5 linked regions of the Danio rerio genome follow. The protein of the gene in region 4 purifies or fractionates together with the protein of the main gene of each other region. This does not show direct contact. Links are inferred from orthologs where the notes say so. Each region holds a gene or a part of one and is shown on either strand. Other genes may lie near its edges. The genes, in order: mrpl18, mkln1, ube2h, armc8 and maea.

The links.
Region 1: the proteins of armc8 (region 4) and mrpl18 purify together in Homo sapiens (affinity purification with mass spectrometry; 3 studies listed by BioGRID and IntAct, with this or other methods). This does not show direct contact. The link is inferred for Danio rerio from reciprocal best matches to the Homo sapiens genes ARMC8 and MRPL18.
Region 2: the proteins of armc8 (region 4) and mkln1 purify together in Homo sapiens (affinity purification with mass spectrometry; 4 studies listed by BioGRID and IntAct, with this or other methods). This does not show direct contact. The link is inferred for Danio rerio from reciprocal best matches to the Homo sapiens genes ARMC8 and MKLN1.
Region 3: the proteins of armc8 (region 4) and ube2h purify together in Homo sapiens (affinity purification with mass spectrometry; 3 studies listed by BioGRID and IntAct, with this or other methods). This does not show direct contact. The link is inferred for Danio rerio from reciprocal best matches to the Homo sapiens genes ARMC8 and UBE2H.
Region 5: the proteins of armc8 (region 4) and maea purify together in Homo sapiens (affinity purification with mass spectrometry; 5 studies listed by BioGRID and IntAct, with this or other methods). This does not show direct contact. The link is inferred for Danio rerio from reciprocal best matches to the Homo sapiens genes ARMC8 and MAEA.

What each region holds. Positions count from the first base shown.
Region 1 is NC_133189.1:40,104,074-40,108,198, reverse strand, and holds the start of mrpl18 (large ribosomal subunit protein uL18m), read left to right. Parts: upstream 1-1,321; 5' UTR 1,322-1,467; coding exon 1,468-1,564; intron 1,565-4,125. UniProt on the Homo sapiens protein: Together with thiosulfate sulfurtransferase (TST), acts as a mitochondrial import factor for the cytosolic 5S rRNA.
Region 2 is NC_133179.1:12,280,181-12,283,697, forward strand, and holds part of mkln1 (muskelin), read left to right. Parts: intron 1-6; coding exon 7-84; intron 85-221; coding exon 222-287; intron 288-761; coding exon 762-874; intron 875-3,185; coding exon 3,186-3,398; intron 3,399-3,513; coding exon 3,514-3,517. UniProt on the Homo sapiens protein: Component of the CTLH E3 ubiquitin-protein ligase complex that selectively accepts ubiquitin from UBE2H and mediates ubiquitination and subsequent proteasomal degradation of the transcription factor HBP1.
Region 3 is NC_133179.1:15,632,192-15,635,708, reverse strand, and holds part of ube2h (ubiquitin-conjugating enzyme E2 H), read right to left. Parts: intron 1,835-3,517; coding exon 1,760-1,834; intron 1,549-1,759; coding exon 1,509-1,548; intron 615-1,508; coding exon 562-614; intron 1-561. UniProt on the Homo sapiens protein: Accepts ubiquitin from the E1 complex and catalyzes its covalent attachment to other proteins. E2 ubiquitin conjugating enzyme that transfers ubiquitin to MAEA, a core component of the CTLH E3 ubiquitin-protein ligase complex.
Region 4 is NC_133184.1:29,563,154-29,566,670, forward strand, and holds part of armc8 (armadillo repeat-containing protein 8), read left to right. Parts: intron 1-281; coding exon 282-377; intron 378-1,646; coding exon 1,647-1,729; intron 1,730-1,966; coding exon 1,967-2,048; intron 2,049-2,133; coding exon 2,134-2,220; intron 2,221-3,517. UniProt on the Homo sapiens protein: Component of the CTLH E3 ubiquitin-protein ligase complex that selectively accepts ubiquitin from UBE2H and mediates ubiquitination and subsequent proteasomal degradation of the transcription factor HBP1.
Region 5 is NC_133189.1:25,445,509-25,449,815, reverse strand, and holds the start of maea (E3 ubiquitin-protein transferase MAEA), read left to right. Parts: upstream 1-1,500; 5' UTR 1,501-1,582; coding exon 1,583-1,651; exon of another isoform or gene 1,652-2,213; coding exon of another isoform or gene 2,214-2,255; intron 2,256-4,307.

The sequences.
Region 1 (4,125 bases), on a different chromosome or scaffold from region 4:
TACAAACTGACCAATCAACATGTGATCACATCGTAAATCCCCCAAGTCCACACACCAGGCCCTGATCTCATCAGTATCTGCCTTTTGAGTCAGTATGGATCTTCTTGAAAAAGACATGTTCTGCCATATAAACAAATTCATATGATTATTTTAATTCCTACAAAATGCTTTTTGGATTCTTTCACAAGAATTGAATGTATAAAGTTGGCAAAAATTGGAAGTTAAGATTGCCCTCTTTTTCCATGACGTATATCCAATTAAAACTGGAAATAAGAAAAAAGGTTGGGCGGTGCAAGAAGATTTCACCCTTTGGGGCTATGGATTGTTGGAAGAAATTTCTAACAAAATGAAGCAAGATTGGACGACAAGACAAGGCTAAAACAAAATATGTCTTGACAGCTCCTCCCTAAAGGTGCTCCATGTGACCAGAAGTGAAGAAAAGTTGGTCCAAGGGGGCATGCAGGGGAAGTTATGGCTTTTGAGAAAAAAATATTTTAGAGGGCAAATTAATTTTTACAAAATAATGAAGTTTACAGACACCATTTACAACAAGAACTATCATAGAAATATAAAAATAAGAGGAGCAAATTTTAATCTTATGGTACTGTATGTATGCAAAAATCATGCAGTCAGAGATCCTGTTAGAATGTTCACCAAAATGGTGCATGTACCTGTCCTGGATGCGACAACTTTGTAGCAATACAGAGTATTTAATGTGTAAGTAAATGAGTGCATTAGGAAAGGCTGACCTTTCAGACAAAAACATATTAAGGAAAGTTATTATGGCTGATTACAGGTAACAGCATATTGTTGTAAATGATTTTCAGCTTTTTGTACAGACAAATGTTTACATTTATAGTTTCTCAATGTGAATCAATGATTCATGTTGATTCTGTGTTACATGTAAGTTTTTTTTTTCATCTCCCAAAGTGCTAGCATTGATGAATCATGGAAAAATGCTTTTTTAATGTCCCACTGTAAATAAAATTGATCTCTAATGGCCAAGGTTAAACTACAGTAGGCTACTCCAACACAATAAAATTACTTTTTAATAACTGTGAAGTGATGGATCCTATATGTGAGGTTTTCTTATTTTAGAATGAAGTGTACTGGTGACATCTGGTGGACAGCTTTATAGTATGCGAGTATAAACTATTTTAATAAACTTTAGTTTAAGGGCCTTAAAAGAACGATTTTTTTAAATGCATTAAAGAGCATATTCTATACAACATAAAAAGGGTTTGCATTTGTTTTTATTCATTTTAAGGATCTCTAAACGGAACCCATGTGCAGTTCCAAGTTTCTTCCGGAAACACGGACTGTGTTCTCAGTGACATCAAAATGGCTGCGCACTAGAGTCTGGACAGATCATTTTAATATCATAGAAAAGGTCATGCGGTAGCTGATTGAACAGAAACAACAGTTATAAACTGGCGTTATAATTAAAGGCATAGTTAAAGCCGTCAAATGGCTTTGTTTAGTGATGTTTGTCGTAGTGCTCGCGTGCTGCTAGCTCAATGTCAGAGATCTGCAGCTGCAGCGGCGTGGCTTCACTGTCAGCCCGGTAAGAAACACAACTAAACCTTTAGCTTTATCCACTGATCCTCTGCAGCACGTGTGTGTTCATTACATACAGGCGACGTCTGTGTTTTTTATTGAGGTGAAGCTGGTTTTACATTACATTGAGGTAAAGTTGGTTTTATATTCGCACATTCAGTCTTTCTCATTATTAATATGATGTCAGAAAAGTATTAATTGGAAATTCTAAATAGCGAAATTATATCAACAGCCAACAACCATCAAAGTACAGCATTGTTCACAGTCAATTAAGTAGTGATAATGTTGTTTTGAAGCCATACTTGCATGTGATTTCAGTCCGAATACTCAAAGTACCATGGTAAACAATGTGTGGAGCTGTCACTGAACAAATGTGTGAATATAAAACCATCTTTACCTCAATTTACATTACCACATTAGTTCAGTTACAAGTTGTGACACTGTGTATTGTTTACTATGCCAACGTTACTTTGATTATTCTATCTGAAATTGCATGCAAGTATGACTTCAAAACAATATCAGCACTATTAAATTGACTAAACAATGTTGTACGTTTTTGATAGTCATTAGTGGGATATATGGTTCCCCATTTTTAATTTTCAAACAATACTTTTCTAAAAATATATTATTGGGAACAAAGTCTGAGTGTGCAAATATAAATCCAACTTTACCTCGCTGTGTATTTCTCAGTGCGTTTTGGAACTGAAGTGATTAAAATAACACAAAAGTGGCAGAATATTTAAGTCAGTCTGGACTGTAAATTTTTGGGGAATCTGTTCACAAAAAGATTCTGGTGAGACTGAACTGGGATTAATCTCCAAATTACATTTCTTTTAGACAAAGACTTTTCCCACCAGACTAAACTCGAACAATGTTAATTACAGCTCTTTGTTTTACTTTTTTTTTTCTTTTCAAATTTAAAAACTGTCAATTTTACAGTTATAATGGTGCAGAGCTGCGGAGTCTTAAAAAGTATTAAAAGTTGATAAGCCAATGTAAAGATATTGTCTTAAACGCTATTTTTCAAGATGTTAAATTTTACATGTATGGTTTTTTGTCAAAGTTTGCCTGAATTAAATCAGCAAATATCAGGATTCTGTGTAGTTTATGAAATGAATAAAATCCTGCTAGATCAGGGGTCCGTTCTTCGTACCTCGCTTAAATGATCTAAGATGATTTGGCAGATCCTGGATCTTTTCATCTTGATAACTGATCTCTGGCTAGTTTGGTTCTTCAAACAAGTTCGCGAATCAGATTAGAATGTCTGGATGAACTGATCTGAGATCGCTGCGTGTGTTGTGAAGGACAGATCTATTGATCCTCAAAATCATGATCAAATGCTACGATTGGCTGACGGCATAGCAGCGTAATGACATCATCTGATTAATATTCAATTATCCATGTGAGCAACATTACATCAAATTAGCAGGAAACGGTTTGTTAAATATGACACGCAATAACCTTCCACATTTGTTGTGAGCTGCAGGCTTTACACTTTCATGTGTCAAGAGCATTCATCATGTATTTCAATGCAAATCAATGTATTTAGTACTACATTTAGAAAAGATTTTCTTTATTATAGTAGCCGTTTTTTAATCGGTGTAAACAATAACTGGATGTTTACAAAAGCATTTTGATATTGGTAAAGGGGTCTGCAACTTTTGTGAAGCATCAAATTACTGGCATATTAACTATCAAAACATGTTTAAGACTGCAAAAATGTATTATTTCTTTTAAAAAGTCACATATTGTGCATTTCTATTATACACAAATTGTATTAAAGCGATCTAAAAAGTTCTTATCAATAAGTTTTCTCTGTGCACCACCAAGTGGCAGTCTTTGTACTTTCATTTCGAGAGTGCAGATTGCATGTTTTATTAATATATATATATAACTTTATTTATTTTATTAATAACTATAACTTTATATAGTTAAAATATATTTACCATTTTCCCAGTTGTGACTACTACTGTAAGAAAATATCAGAATTCGGAACATACTTTCTGTATTATCTTTGCTTGAACTGAGCCGATCTAATCCTGTTTATATGAATTGAACCTGCTCCCGATCAGGTTTGAGCTAGCAGAACTGTTGCTATGACGACAACTCTCGAATCAGCTTTGAAGAACGAAACGATCCTGGATCGTGTCAAACCGTCAATATCCAAATCCAGCTAACTAAGTAATCCACGTACGAAGAACGGACCCATGACCTCATGGTGCTTTGTTTACTCCAGTAACCAAGGCAACACCATTATTTTCACAGTTCTAAAGGTGCCCACCTGCTGAATTAGCTTCAATTCAAGCTAATAGATAATGTGTATTTTCTTTTTTCCATGAGCTCTATTATCAATTTAAGAACAATGTTTCTTTCCTTCCCCATACCTCCCAAAGCTAAAGAAGTACATTTTAAATTTTTAATGATATTTACCCATCTTCAGAGTTTCTTAGACATAGATTTAATTTTGATCGCAACAATTGTACATTCTGTGAGGTTGACATGCAAACGATTGCACATTTATTTTTGAATATTTATTGAGCAGAACCTTTTAGTCCAGGGGTCTCCAAC
Region 2 (3,517 bases), on a different chromosome or scaffold from region 4:
TTCCAGATGGTTTGTTTAATCAGTACATCAGCCAGCAGGATTATAAGCCACGCTGGAGTCAGATCATCCCCAAATGTAACAAAGGTACGACAGCAGTCCGCTGTGGCACTGAATCTGGACACTGGACTCCAGGAAGTCTGCTGCTGTATTAATGACTTACCGACTTCTTCCTGACACGCACCACTTCTTATTGTTTTTTTTGTTTTTAACTTTCTGATTAGGCGATGGTGATGATAACAGGCCGGGCATGAGAGGAGGTCATCAAATGGTCATTGATGTTCAGACAGGTACGTTTTACATCACGCTGCTCATTTGCAAACTTTCTGATTGGGTGGTTATCATATCACTGTTTAGCTTGTCCTGTCTTGCTCATAGTGGAATGCATGCCTTTTTGCTCTGCTGTTGCAAGTTAATGGCTGTTTTAAGCGTGCGTGTGAATTGGTGAGCTTGTTGTTTGAAGAACAGTCGATCCCGCAGCTCTGTGCATTCAGACTGACCTCGAGTAACCCACTCTACACGGCTCAGCTGACGCTCAATAGCTCAAACAACTGTCTCTGCTTATCACCATGGCTACATCAGCCTTTCAACCTCACCACACAGCTGCCTTTCAAGAAAATGACGATTTATAAGCACTTAAAGCATGTTTTTTATGCTTCGGTTTCATATTGAATCTCTTACAAAGGAGTAAGACGGCTCACCCACTCACTCTAGCTTTCTCTCTCTCTGTTTGTACTTTTGTGTCCGTGTCTTTTGTTCATCAGAAACCGTGTATTTGTTCGGTGGCTGGGATGGAACGCAGGACTTGGCTGATTTCTGGGCGTACAGTGTGAAGGAGAACCAATGGGCCTGCATCTCCAGGGACACAGAGAAAGAGGTAAGAGAGAAAGTAAAAGAGGGAATTTCTTTTCAATTATGACTCAGCTGAATGGCACAAAAAAAAATCCCTAGGCATTTCCATCATGTCTGATTTTCACATACTATAGTGAGTGAGCTCTCTGTGCAAAGTGCATTGATAGATGGGTGATCTTTCAGCGGTTGGCTATTTAGATCTGGAATTTTAACTTGTAGTTGTAATAGTTCATGCTTGAGGATGATATGATTGAAATGGAAAATATGTGGAGTGACGTCCTCAGTGTTGACAGAAGTTATAATAGATGATCTTATTGGCTGTCTGGTACACAGTCCAGTTGAAACTAAAACCGCTTATTAACAGCAATGGCTGATTGACATAACCAATCACAGTTTACCATTTTAAGGCTCATTAGGGAGATTAAAATACATCAATATGGATTCATTTATTGATCAAATGACAAATTATATTGATTATTTGTGAGTTAATATAAAATCAATGTTTTTTTTGTAAATTAGGCACTTAATATCAAAATATTGATCGATATTTATTATATTTAATCCACTAAATTGATTTTAGTTAGATATTTTAGTATATGTATCTATATATATCTATATATATCTATATATATATATATATATATATATATATATATATATATATATATATATATATATATGTGTATATATATATGTGTGTATATATGTATATATATGTGTGTATATATGTATATATATGTGTGTGTGTGTGTGTGTGTGTGTGTGTATATATATATATATATATATATATATATATATATATATATATATATATATATATATATATATATATATATATATATATATATATATATATATATATTGTATAGGTTGATAAGAGTATCAGTATTATATCGTCTCGTTACAAGACATCCAATTTTTTTTTGAGAACCAAAAACTGTTTTATTTGTATGCTTGTTAGTTTTTTGTTTTGTTTAGTGCTACTCTGGGCCCTAAATTTTGATAACATTGACCTTAAAAAATTTGAATCACAAACTGACTGTTTTTTTCCTTTTTGAAATATCGATACCTTGATACTTCATCTTCCATCCTCATCTATAGTTTACTCTGTCTTGTAGATGTATCGAGAATCAGATGAAAGTGTGAAAGAAAAGTCTTGTGCAATATGTAAATGGTCTAAATGCCTTCGTTACACTTGGAATTAACGTCTGTTTCAGTGATCCGATTGCAAATGGTCAGCCAAGACACATTACCATTTACACCTGGTATTGACATGTGTTAAAATCATCTTCATGAGTTTCTTCAAGAATACATCACTTCCGCAGGAGCACTGAGTGCTGTTAGAGTCTCTTTAACATAATTGATTTCACTCTGTGCCATCTTTGAAACACCTCTCGGGAACTTTCCAAAACTGTTTGCCAAGCTTACGATTACATTACATATTTCTCACAAATTTTGGTTTTAAGAGTTCAAATGAGATCACGACATTTACTCATTTACTCATTGCCATTCTCTGGATATTGCTTCGTCAGATTGTGCTGGTCTTCTGAAGTAATCCACAACTTGGTCTTGAGGCGAATCTCCTCCAATGACAGTGACTGTTTGTTTAATTTTGTGTGCGTTTGAGTAGTTGCTGCTGTCATGTGATGGGTGTTTGACAGGACAAACTATACCTCGTGTTCATTTTATACAGATTACAAAACCAAAAACTTTTGTTTTCAGGTGTAGTCGGTTAATTTAAAAGTACAAATTTCAAGCTTTATATGTATATGTGAAGAAGTGTTTTTCATGTTGCCTCTGAAGCAAGTATTTGCTGAGATTCCAGTGCATTTATTGTCCACAACAAACTGTCATAAAAGCACACAATTGGTCTGAGCTTCTCCTCTTGGAGAGATCAATGATTGGCTTCTGTACTAGAAGGCAGAGCTTCATTCGCCGTATTGACCGACAATTTTCCCCATTTAAATCTATACAAGTGACAGGTCTTGTGTATTTATAGTCTTTAGTGCTATTGAATAAATGAAAAACCCATGTAATGCAGCTTTTGAGTGAGCGAGGAAATGATGAATGAGAAGATTGTGGATGTTACAATTTTTTTTCATTGTAATTCGGTTTTGGTAGATCATGGTGAGGTATGAATACTTTCTTTTTGTCCCATAGTTATCGTGTATGGTTTGACATGACAGAAAGCAGAATGGTCATATGTAGTTTCATTAGAAGTTGTCATCTTTTACACCTGTATTTCATCTACTTGTGATCGGATTAATGAAAATGCATCCTAATACTTGGCTTAAATGGCAATAACTACAAAGGTGGTGTTACATTTTTTTTTTCAGAGTGGTCCCAGTGCTCGTTCATGCCACAAAATGTGCATCGATTCTCAACGGAGGCAGATCTACACGCTGGGCCGATATCTGGACTCCTCGGTCAGAAACAGCAAGTCTCTGAAGAGTGACTTCTACTGCTACGACATTGACGCAAACACGTGGACCCTCCTGAGTGAAGACACATCCGCTGATGGAGGACCCAAACTTGTGTTCGACCACCAGGTAAATTGCACAACCTACAGTATATGCAGGATTTATCCTCCATACCATCAGGAGTCTCTCTTTTACAGATTTATGATGAACACCTATTAAAATAATCTTCCTTTTGCGTCCTCAGATGT
Region 3 (3,517 bases), on a different chromosome or scaffold from region 4:
AAAAATAAATAAATAAATAAAAAGGATTCTTGGTTTTTATTTTGTATTTTCCACTTACCATGAATAGGTAAAACAGATTCTTATTATTATTTTATCTTTTGGAAGAAAAAAAAGACACTGCGGAATGATTATTTAGCACCAACTGGATTCAATCAATATAAAAAAAAATCTGAATCACATATGTCGGAATAATTTCACAAGACAGACTGCATTACTGAATTAAAAAAAAAAAAACTCAAGTCAACCTTTGGAGATAATTGCAATCATTATATTATTAACTATGCAGTTAAAATCAGAGTGACAGCATAAAAAAGCCTGTGGTGTGAATGGCCTCTGGCGGGATGGACCCGTTTAAGTGTGCTTGTTAGGTATACTGATGCTGTTTTCTGACCTTGCAGGTATTAGCTCATTCAGAGAAGGTAAGAGGATTATAGTGCACCACCATCCTGACTAAAGGCCAGGAGACTTTATTCTACTCCTCGGGCAGCATCAATGCAAGCTCTGGCTTTTCCTGAGCATTCATTCTCAATATGAATCCACAATGAGGTCATATGTACTCACCATAAAGAGCGGTCCATGTCTGGTTGATCACATCTAAACACACGGTCCCTGACCTGGAAAAACAGTGACAGTATTGGCATTAGAGCAGGACTAATGAGCTAAATTAATATTATTGTACTTAGATTCACTATGACACGCCATCACATTGTTTACTTCCACTTCTCCATTCTATGAGAGTGATTCCGATTACATTTTAAGGTACAGTATGCAAACTTTTTGTGTTTCCTTTTGAGATAACATTTTTTGTTCCTATTCAGCTAAAAATAGTAAATGCAAATAACTGTATTTAACTATACTGACTATAATCATATTGTTTAACTGGTGTAGTATGATATTATCATGTTTTAAACCATTTACGACACTTTGTTCATTATTATTAGTATATCTAACATACTAATGGACAGTATTTTTATTACTTCTCCAAAACCTGATCATCTTAGCATAGACTTTTATATACACACAATGTATTTTATTTACTCAAGCATTCCTGGATTTCAAGCTTTACAGTAATGACCGAGGATATTTATGTGACTAATAAAAAGCTAAAATGAATTTAAGAGATGGTTCTTTCATATTCAAAAGAAGAAACAAATTGTCACCGGTTTAAAACAACTTCAGGATGAGTCAACAACGATGGCATTTTAATTTTTGGGGTCAATTATCCTTTAAAAAAAAAAAAAGCATTCTTCACAAAACTATCATAAGACTTTTAAAAGACGACGCCAATTGGACTACTTTTAAATGATTGAATTGATTAATCCTTTTTTTTGGAGCTTGAAAAACCCTGTTTTGTCTTTAATATATAGAAAAAGAGCAGCATAAACATTTTTTAAAGTATCTCCTTTAGCATTCTTCAATCATCAAACAGGTTTTGAATGATTAGAGAATGATGGATTTACGTTTTTAGGTAAAATATCCTTAGAAGAAAGCCTCAGAATATCACTTACGCTTCATCGATGTTTGGATGAAAAATCTTATTCATAAATCCTACGAGAAAAATCAAAACAGGAAGTGAGATATATCAAAACAACAGCGTTTCAATGCACTAACCAACACCATCTTTACAGACTATTAAACATGACATCAAAGTGATGGCATGGCATTTTTTCCAAATTACACACGTATCTAAATGTAATCTACTCATAATTTCACAACCCAACCACCGTACGTGGCTGATCATGTCACTGTAATGCTTTACCTATAGACGGAGATTTGAAGGGGTATTTGTCTGGAAGATCTACTCGCACCTTCCAAACGCCCCCTTCATACGGTGCTGACAGGAAAAAACAAAACAGAAAGAGACACATGATGACTCAAGCTTTAAGACGAGACAATGTAGGCAAGATTTATTTCTGCACCTGTCAAATTTAATGTTTTGACTTTTCCTTTTAAGATATCTTTCAAAACACACTTTAAAGTGTTGATTTTATCACTCTTTTGCCATTTATTTTAATTACAAACGATATTTTTCTCCTGCATTGAGCCATAAGCACACACTTTGGCAGCACTTATTGTTTATATCGCAATCTTTACAGTTACATCTATGAAGGTTTTTACAGAGCAGACCTGGGCATTTTATGGCCCCCGGGCCAAATGCGGCCCACTGGACTTCTTTGATCAGCCGGCGTGAAGTATTTATTGAATTTCAATTCAACCGCAAACAGGGCCTTCATTGCACAGGTCTGATATTGCGAGTCAACAAAAGTCGACTTTCACATATAGCGCCTTTTGCAAGCTTAGTTTCGTTATTTTAAACAGACACTCGGGTTCAGCACGCAAATAAGAAGGGATTCACATGAGGTATGCCACACTGAATGAATAAATAAATAAATACAAGTTAACTAAGGTGAAGCAATCAAACAAACAACTCTGTAACATTTATATGAAGCTGACCTTTAAAATACTTTTGTGTAACATTTTTTTTTTACTTTAGAGTTTTTATTGAATTTTGTATTTTTTTTAACAAATTAAATGTATTGATCTCGCCCTCTAAAACCACCCCAGAGTCTATTGTGGCTCCTTGGAAAAATCAATTGCCCACCTCTGTTACAAAGGGATGTGTTCATACATAGTTTGACTGATTATATAAATCGATATATACTTTTTTTCAGACTGTTCCCAGAATTATATAACAAGAAAAGAGATTCCCTCTGAATATGTAAATAAGGCATTATTCATTTCTAACACACACATTACAAACCACACATTTTTAAAAACTACAAAAGTTTAGAAACAGTTTTCAATCGTAAGTTAACCCTCTACAGCACATCGTTGCCCTCAGGCAACAGAAAGTTTTCTTAAGGCTTGTGCTAAGCACAGATTTCTTAAAATGATTGCAACCAATTAAAATGTTAGAAAAAGTATCAATGAAACATCCAATAAGGCGTGCGAGTCACTATCTAGCACCGTTTGAAGGTGGAACTTCATTTTCTGACTCATGGTGACATGGATGGGAAGAAGTTAAGAATATTTGCTTAATTAACCTCATTCTAAGTAATATAAACTGTACAAAAATTGTATGTATTTGTGAAGTTGTAGAGAAGCCTTTTGTATAACTATATATATATATTTTTTTACCCTATTCACCTGCGGTGTCTTGCCTTAAAAAGACTAACACTCATAATGACTAACCTACGAGTGACTGAATGTGGGCGGAACACTAATTCCTTATTTGATAATTATGAATAATAAGTGTAAGGACACACGTGTGGGTGTGTATATATGTGTGCTATTGGTGTGGTGTGATATGAGGTCTGGTGCAACGTGTGCTCGCTCCAAGAATAGCCTTCTGCAATTTGACCCTTGTGGTCAGAAGCTCAAACTACGAAAGGTAAAGCCTGGGTGAGAGGAGACCGATAAGACTTCTGCTTCTCAATGTAGAGAGAGAGAAAAAAGGTCTTTACAGAGGATGATATGATAATTAAATAGGACCACAGGATGTTCTCTGGGTAAACAA
Region 4 (3,517 bases):
TATTTTTAATGACTATGCACTTTTATTGTTTTGATGCCTCAAGCTAAATGATTGCCATATTATTTTTGATGCTTTTTTGTCTTTGGCATTTAATTAATTGATAAAGGAGGACATATTTTCTTCTCCTGTTTTTGTATAAACCTAAATCTTTTTTGTCTTTGGCATTTAATTAATTGATAAAGGAGGACATATTTTCTTCTCCTGTTTTTATATAAACCTAAATATACAGATTATGCTGATTAAGCCATTGAACAGTAAAAAATGTCCCTGTCTGTGTTTAGTTGGATCATGACTTGAAACATGCACATGAGCTTCGACAGGCAGCCTTTAAACTCTATGCTTCACTGGGGTCTAATGATGAGGACATCAGGAAGAAGGTGAGACACTATAGTTGGCTTAGATAGATTACCTCGATGTGTAGATTTTTAGCTTATCTTAACTAATTTGTTTATCTTTTGCTGTTGTTTTATTTTTATCCAGCGTTATGTTATAATGCTTTGTGTTCCTAAAAAAATTATCAGTGTGACTGAAGACTTAAAAAGTCAACCTTGATACCATGACAGTTAAAAAGAGAAATTTTCATAACTGACCTGTTAATTGACAGTAGGAATTCTATAAGAAGATTATTAGAAGATTACTATTTTTGTCAAACAAGTAGTTCAGTGGGTCATTTAAGTTATTTCAAAAGTACATTTTATTAAACACAAGCACACACCTGGGAAATTCTGATTTAAAGTAACTTTTATTCAACCAGCAAGTTTTTTTTTTTTGATCGTAAATGACAGGCTTCATCCCTGTCATTCTCCTCATGTGTAGTTAAACCTCTTCAGTGTTTTAAAGGATAGTTTACCTTTTTGAAAATTAAACCTTACTTACAATTTACTCTCCCTCAAGTGGTAATAAACCTTTCTGTCTTTTGTTGAACACAGAAGAAGATATTTTGAAGAAAGCTGGAAACCTGAAACCATCAACTTTCAAAGTAGGAAAAACATACTGTGAAAGTCAATGGTTACATGGTTTCCAATTTTCTTTCTTAAAATATTTTCTGTTTTCAACAGAAGAATATCTAACAGGTTTGGAACAACTTAAGGAGGAGTAAATAATGAAAGGTTTTTCAAAATGACCTGTTAATTGATTGTAGGAACTCTATAAGAAGATTATTAGAAGATTACTATTATTGTCAAAATAAGTAGTTCAGTGGGTCATTTATGTTATTTTAAAAGTAAATTTCATTAAACACAAACACACCCCTGGCAAATTCTGACTTAAAGTAAATTTTATTCCACCATAATTTTTTTTCAGGGCTTTTTTAGGGCTTCATCCCTGTCATTTTTCTTCTGAAAGATAATAAGATGATGTACAAGAGCTTTTGTTTACATTTAAACAAAAGCTTTTTTGTCAGAATTTGTCAGGGGTATTAATAATTTCAGCCCTAACTGTATATAATGGTTATGTAAGATAAAACATTAGAGGTATTTTAAAGAGTCACAGTCACACATCTAATTGAATTTAATTGTAATTTAATTGACATTGTCTTTTTACATGTAATAAATGTCAGTTGTCAGTCAGGAAAAAGATTCACAATGAACATCCCTAAGTAAAGATATTGGGTTGATGTAATGAAAGATCCAATTTCTCCCCTACAGATTACAGAGACGGAAAACATGATGGACAGAATTGTTAGCGGCTTATCAGAATCTAGTATCAAAGTACGGTTAGCAGCAGTCAGGTATGAGGCATCTCTTTTCACAGTACTTCTGTAATTAATTTTTATAATATGAATGCACTGTTGATGAGCTTAAAAACATTCAAGACCTCTTACTGACCTCAAACTATTGATCAGTGGAGCAAATATGAAATGTGTTTGTTGAAATGCCACAGCAATTGGATGTTGAAAGAGTTTCAAGAATTTAAAAAATGTTGCTTTTGTATTTCAGATGATTTCTTTTTATTTGTTTTCCTCTAGATGTCTCCACAGTTTATCACGATCAGTACAACAGCTAAGAACGAGTTTCCATGATCATGCCGTATGGAAACCACTAATGAAGGTATGACATCTCGATGATGCTAAGCTGAATATCAACGCTAATCTAAGCTAAACAGAATAAACGTTTGTTTTGTTTGTTTTGGTAGTTATTACAGAACGCACCAGATGAGGTGCTGGTCATGGCCTCTTCAACACTATGCAACCTTCTTCTGGAATTTTCACCCAGTAAAGAGGTAAAGTATTTACACTTTGTTGGGCTTAGCATTATTAACACATATCTACAAAGCGAAAAACTGTCAGCACACCTTAACTTTAGTGCTTAATCTCTTCCTATCAGTCAACAAAAATAGTTTTGGATTTATAAGATTTGATTTGTGTGCTTTCTGTATAGCAAAGTTTTTTTTTTAAATTGACGATGGACTAAGTTTGTCATTCATGTTGTGCTATTATACAGTATGATGTGCTTTTGAAAATGCAAAATGAGCCTCCTGGATAATTTTTAATAATTAAATAAAAAATAACATCTATTCATTTGAAGAATTTGAACAGAAGACACATATTTTAACAGAAATTAACAGATAACATTGCTGTACAGTATGTTTTCATCCATCTATTTATTCAATTCAATACATTTTTATTTCTATAGCGCTTTTACAGTGCAAATTGTGTCAAAGCAGCTTAACATAGAAGTTCTAGTAAATTGAAACTGTTTCAGTCCAGTTTTCAGAGTTGAAGTTCAGCAAATCTATTAATGCGCAGCTCTACAAGTCGACAAGTAAAATTCCTTTGCATAAAAATATACTGGATGAAATAAAACACCCAGCTGAGCATACATTCTAAAAATCATTCTGAAAATTTACGTTTAAAATTTGCAGCTTTATTGAATTAAATTTTTTCCAGCAAAAAAAGACGAGTATAAAGTACAAAGGAAAAATGCATTTACTGAATAAATATGCAACAACAATAAACTCACAGTAATGTGAGGAGATTATTGAACAAGCCAGCAGATTGATCTCATCACAAAACATCTCAAAAATGTTTCAGTCTGTCTGAAATGCCTGAGCCAAAGTTACTGTAATGCAGGGGTCTCAAACTGCCCAGATTCGGCCGAGCGATACATTTATTTTAGAATCACTATTATTGTTGTGCTGTCGCATATATACTTGTGGTTTTGACCCCCCACCTACTGGACATTTAAGGTACTGTACTATATGTTTGAGTTACTTTCAGTTACTTTCAGTTTGGATTGGCCATTCGAGAGGACCGGGAGAACTCCCGGTGTGCCGGTCCGTTTTTTGGCCGCGAGGGCCGGTGTTTCTTGCTGCTTGCGCTCTCAGCAGTCGCACTTCTTTTTTCATTGATTTATTTATTTGACCATAGCCTCACTCTTTTTATTCATTATTTTGCCGCAGCTCAGCTCTTCTTATTTATTGTCTCGCAGCCCCAAGAGCAAAATGCAGCCTACAGGGTATTGATGATCTAACTATCATTCCGGCCACACGAGTAACAGCGCCAATGTGGTCTAGTGGT
Region 5 (4,307 bases), on a different chromosome or scaffold from region 4:
CAGTTAAAGGTGACACGAATACACATAAATTAGGGAAATTTAATCACCAAAAAAAGTGAGTATATCGAGGGTATACGCAATTATTGATCCTTTAAAGTCGTAATACCCAAACAGTGGTAAAAAAGTAAGCATATGGAGTATACATGCGTATAGCCCTGACTACACCATTGGTTCCAACCCAACTCCAACATACTTAAGTTGCGATCACACTGCACTTTTCTCCCTATAGACATCCATTCATACGCACAAGAATGCGTCACATTGAAAACGCAGATTGCTGCGTTGAAAAGATCAAACTTGGAGTACAAAATCGCATCACATAATTGCGTGAGATCGAAAATCCAAAAATGACCTCTTCGGACAGGAATTTAAAACATGGACCTATCACTTGTTTTTTTTTTTTTAATGTATAATCATCTTGTTTAATCCCGCCCCTCTTGCAGCGACATATAACAGGATTTCACATGCTCAAACTCTAGTGTGACTGTTACCTGTAGATTTCAAACAAGCCTGAAGGACTCGGTTAGTTTGATCATGTGTGTTTAATAGACCCTTTTCACACTTCTGGCTTTCTCAGTAGTGGAAGGCATCATGGTTGGGTAAACTTAGAGCGCAGTGAATGGGAGAGTACAACAAAAACATCTTTTACAATCCTATTTGCTGAAATATAAAAAACTCCATGGTGGTGTTATCACGACTTTCAGAAATAGGGGGAAAAAATTGTGTGAGACTGATGATGGCAGCCAGAGGAGACAATAACATCAAATTTACTCTAAGCCCTACAGACGCTACAAACACCTCGCTTTAGAGGTAATTGGTTTTAATGTAATTTGACGCAAAGTTGATCTAATACATTCATAAATGCATATAAATGTTTACGTGTTTTTTAAAAATCTAAATATTAAAAACTTTCAGGGATTTAAGTTTATGATGACTGCTAAACGTGTTAAACAATGACCCTTAAGTTAAATGTCTTTTAAAAGGAGTCCATTAGGGTTGGAACTAGTTCAGTAAAGTTAGCAACGAATCTGTGAATCTGTTGCTACCTTTGCTGAACTGTTGGAACTTAACGTTAACTGTGCAGAATAGAGGTAAAGTTGGTTTTATATTCGCATATTCGTTCATTTAGAAGTCTCTTTCTTGTTTACCATGTTACTTTGAATATTCGATCGGAATTAGCATGCAAGTATGACTTCTAAACAACATTAACACTATGTAATTCACTGTGAACAATGTTGTACTTTAACGATCATTTACTGCTAATATGATTTCGCTATTTACAATTTTCAAATAATATTTTTCTGGAATTATATTATTCAGGAGAATGTCTGAATATCCGAATATAAAACCAACTTTACCTCTATCTGTGCAGCTGAGGCGATCCACAAACTGATTTTGACAGCTGTGCCTTAAATAATGGGTACATTTTTATTTTTGGCTGAATTATCTTTTTGATCCTAAAAACACAAGCATTCACCGCCACACTAGGAGGCGGTAACAAACAGTTCTAACCTCGCTGCCGCGGCGAAGACCAAATCCGGGAAGAAGACGAACAAACGCTCCACAGTTTCCCCAAAGCAAGATGGCGGTGCAAGAGACAGCAGCTCAACTCTCTATGGCCCTAAAGGTGCAAGAATACCCAACTTTAAAGGTCTGTCAAGCGTTTCCTCTCCATAATCTAATCACGCAACTAAACAGATTCCGTGTGCGTTGTTTGACCTCAATAACAGGGCATCAAACTGAGATTATCCATCAAATTAAAACTGTGTCTGCATTTAGACAGTTAACTGGTTAGCTCTGGGGCTAGATAACTTAGCAAAACAAGTCCCACACAAACCGATCTAACCGGAGTGATCGCAAATATTCCAGCAGTGACATCGCATGTTCAGTTATAAATTGCGTCGACAGCTGTGTTAAAGGGGTAAATGAGTCGATTAATGTCAGTCTGGCCCATGTCATTCTTGCGTTCCGACAGTGTTGTGTTAATAGACGCTGTTTTATCCCATCACAGGTTTGTCCACTAGTGTAACCAGCGAGCAATGCAGTTCAAGGCAGATTGACGATAATCATTAGCGAGGTTGGATAGTGAGTGACACGAATAATATCGGATGTACTGATGCTTCATAATCGACTGCTGTTCAGTCTCATGTGTGCGTTTGATTGCTATTTGGCGGCTGTCATCTAAAGCTATGATTTTCCGTGGCTTTAGATGAATGCTGGAGGGATATACACATGCCAATGGTGACCAGAGATCGGTATGCATGCGATTTATGCACCATATTAGGATCACATTGTATCATGTTGTGTTGGTCGTTTGCGGGCTTAACAACCAGGTGTAGATTGTCGATGAGGAGCTTATTATTTACGGTAATGGGTGGGATACAGCACCTTTGTTCTCTGCGTCAGAGGTTTTTTTCACGATTGATAGCGTCGTTATGGATGAATCCTCACGTTAACCGGTTCTTTTGACTGATTGATGATGCATTGAGTGCTTTGTGACGTGATTAGTTCATGGATCTCATGTAATTTGACGCCTGTTTATGTAAACGCACACTGAATGTCAATAATATATGGTCTTCACTGCTGTGTCAAGGGCATGTTGCATCTAAGCTTGTCTTGCAGCATTGGGAATGATTTCCAGTACATTCTTGATCATTGCATCATGATCTAACCATATATACCAGTCGCTATTTTGGTGCAGAACCAGAAGCCACATTGGTTGAGGAAGTGTAATGAAAATATGTGGAACAGCTCTTTCATAAAAGAGACTGGTTGGTGTAATGTTTTAGAGGTAGATGAATCATTACAATTGATATTTGTTCATATTTACAAATTATATAATGGTGTACAATCGAAAAGGAATACATTCCTTTTATGACATTTAATTTTTACTAGTGTATGTCACAAATGAATGGTGGTTGCTGCCTAATAATGAAATAAACAGATGTCTTAAAGAGTTCACCTAAAAACGAACTACCTATGAATATGTATAACCCTGATATCATTTCCTCTTCTTTAAAAAAAGTAATTGGCAGTGAATAGCAACCAGCATTACAGGGCTAGTTTACTCAAAAATTACATTTTGTTATTAAATTCTCACCCTTATGTCATTTACAATTTCCTTTATTTTGTCTCCAGAACACAGTTTAAGATTTTTAGAGGATATCTGAGAGCTCCCTCATCCTCCATAGATGGCAACATTCACATTCTGACTGAAGTTAGATGGAATGTTTCGAAAATGTTTTGGTTCCTTTTTTTTGAACTTTGAATGTCTCAGGTCTGTTGCAGTCTGTAGAAAGAGCTCTCAGATTTCATTATAAATGTCTTGTGGCCTGCCCTGAGCCATATGGTATAGGGTTGTCATGATACTGGAATTCGGTACCAATCGATACTGAAATTTTAAAAACATCAATTTCCTGCAAACATTTGTGCACTGTTGAGCACATTCTTAAACACTGCTGATTTGCCATTGTATTCACTAACTCAACAGAAAAAACTGTGATTATTACACTAAGTAAACAGCAATGAATTTGGTGAACTAATGACCTTCACGGCCAATCACAGTCGTTTCTTTTGAGCATGTGAACACAATGGCGAATCAGCGCTGTGCTCAACAGCGCTCAAATGTTTGCGGGAAATGGACTTTTTTTTTTTATTTCTGTACAAATTGGTACCAAATTCTAGAATCGTGACAATCCTATGGTATGGTGTGGTAGAGTATCGTACTTTTTTTTTGGCCCATTTCACTGTCTAAGGAACCAAAAAAGCAGACCGTACCACTTTTTGGGTAAAGAGCAATTCCAGCGTTATGAATGTGACATTTGTAGTAAAAATTCAAAGCAAAAACTCACAGAGAAAGAATATGTTAACATTATATTGAAACATTAGTTTATATTTCCTAGAACAACTAACCACAAAGTCAAGTCATCCGAAAATATTAATCTTTAAACATTTTTAATATTTTAAATGAGAGAAGTAAACATGCGTTATGTACGTGACCAAAAAGTATCCAAGTTTATAGTATACAACATACTTGGTAAAAATTCTATGAATTAAAGTGCACAACCCAAAATAAAGAATGCTAATCAAAAGGATAACTATAGAACAGCTCACTATAGCTTACTATTGTTAGCTCACTATAGAACAAACAAGATTGGTTTTATTTTATTTGACATTTCCATTAATGAGGAAAAAACTTCGTTATGGATGTTACATTTCTCTGTTATGGATGTGACAGATGTGAAATTGCCACTTGTGTGACTTTGGTAAACCAAATCTAATGGTTTGAAAACATTGACAGAGGCATT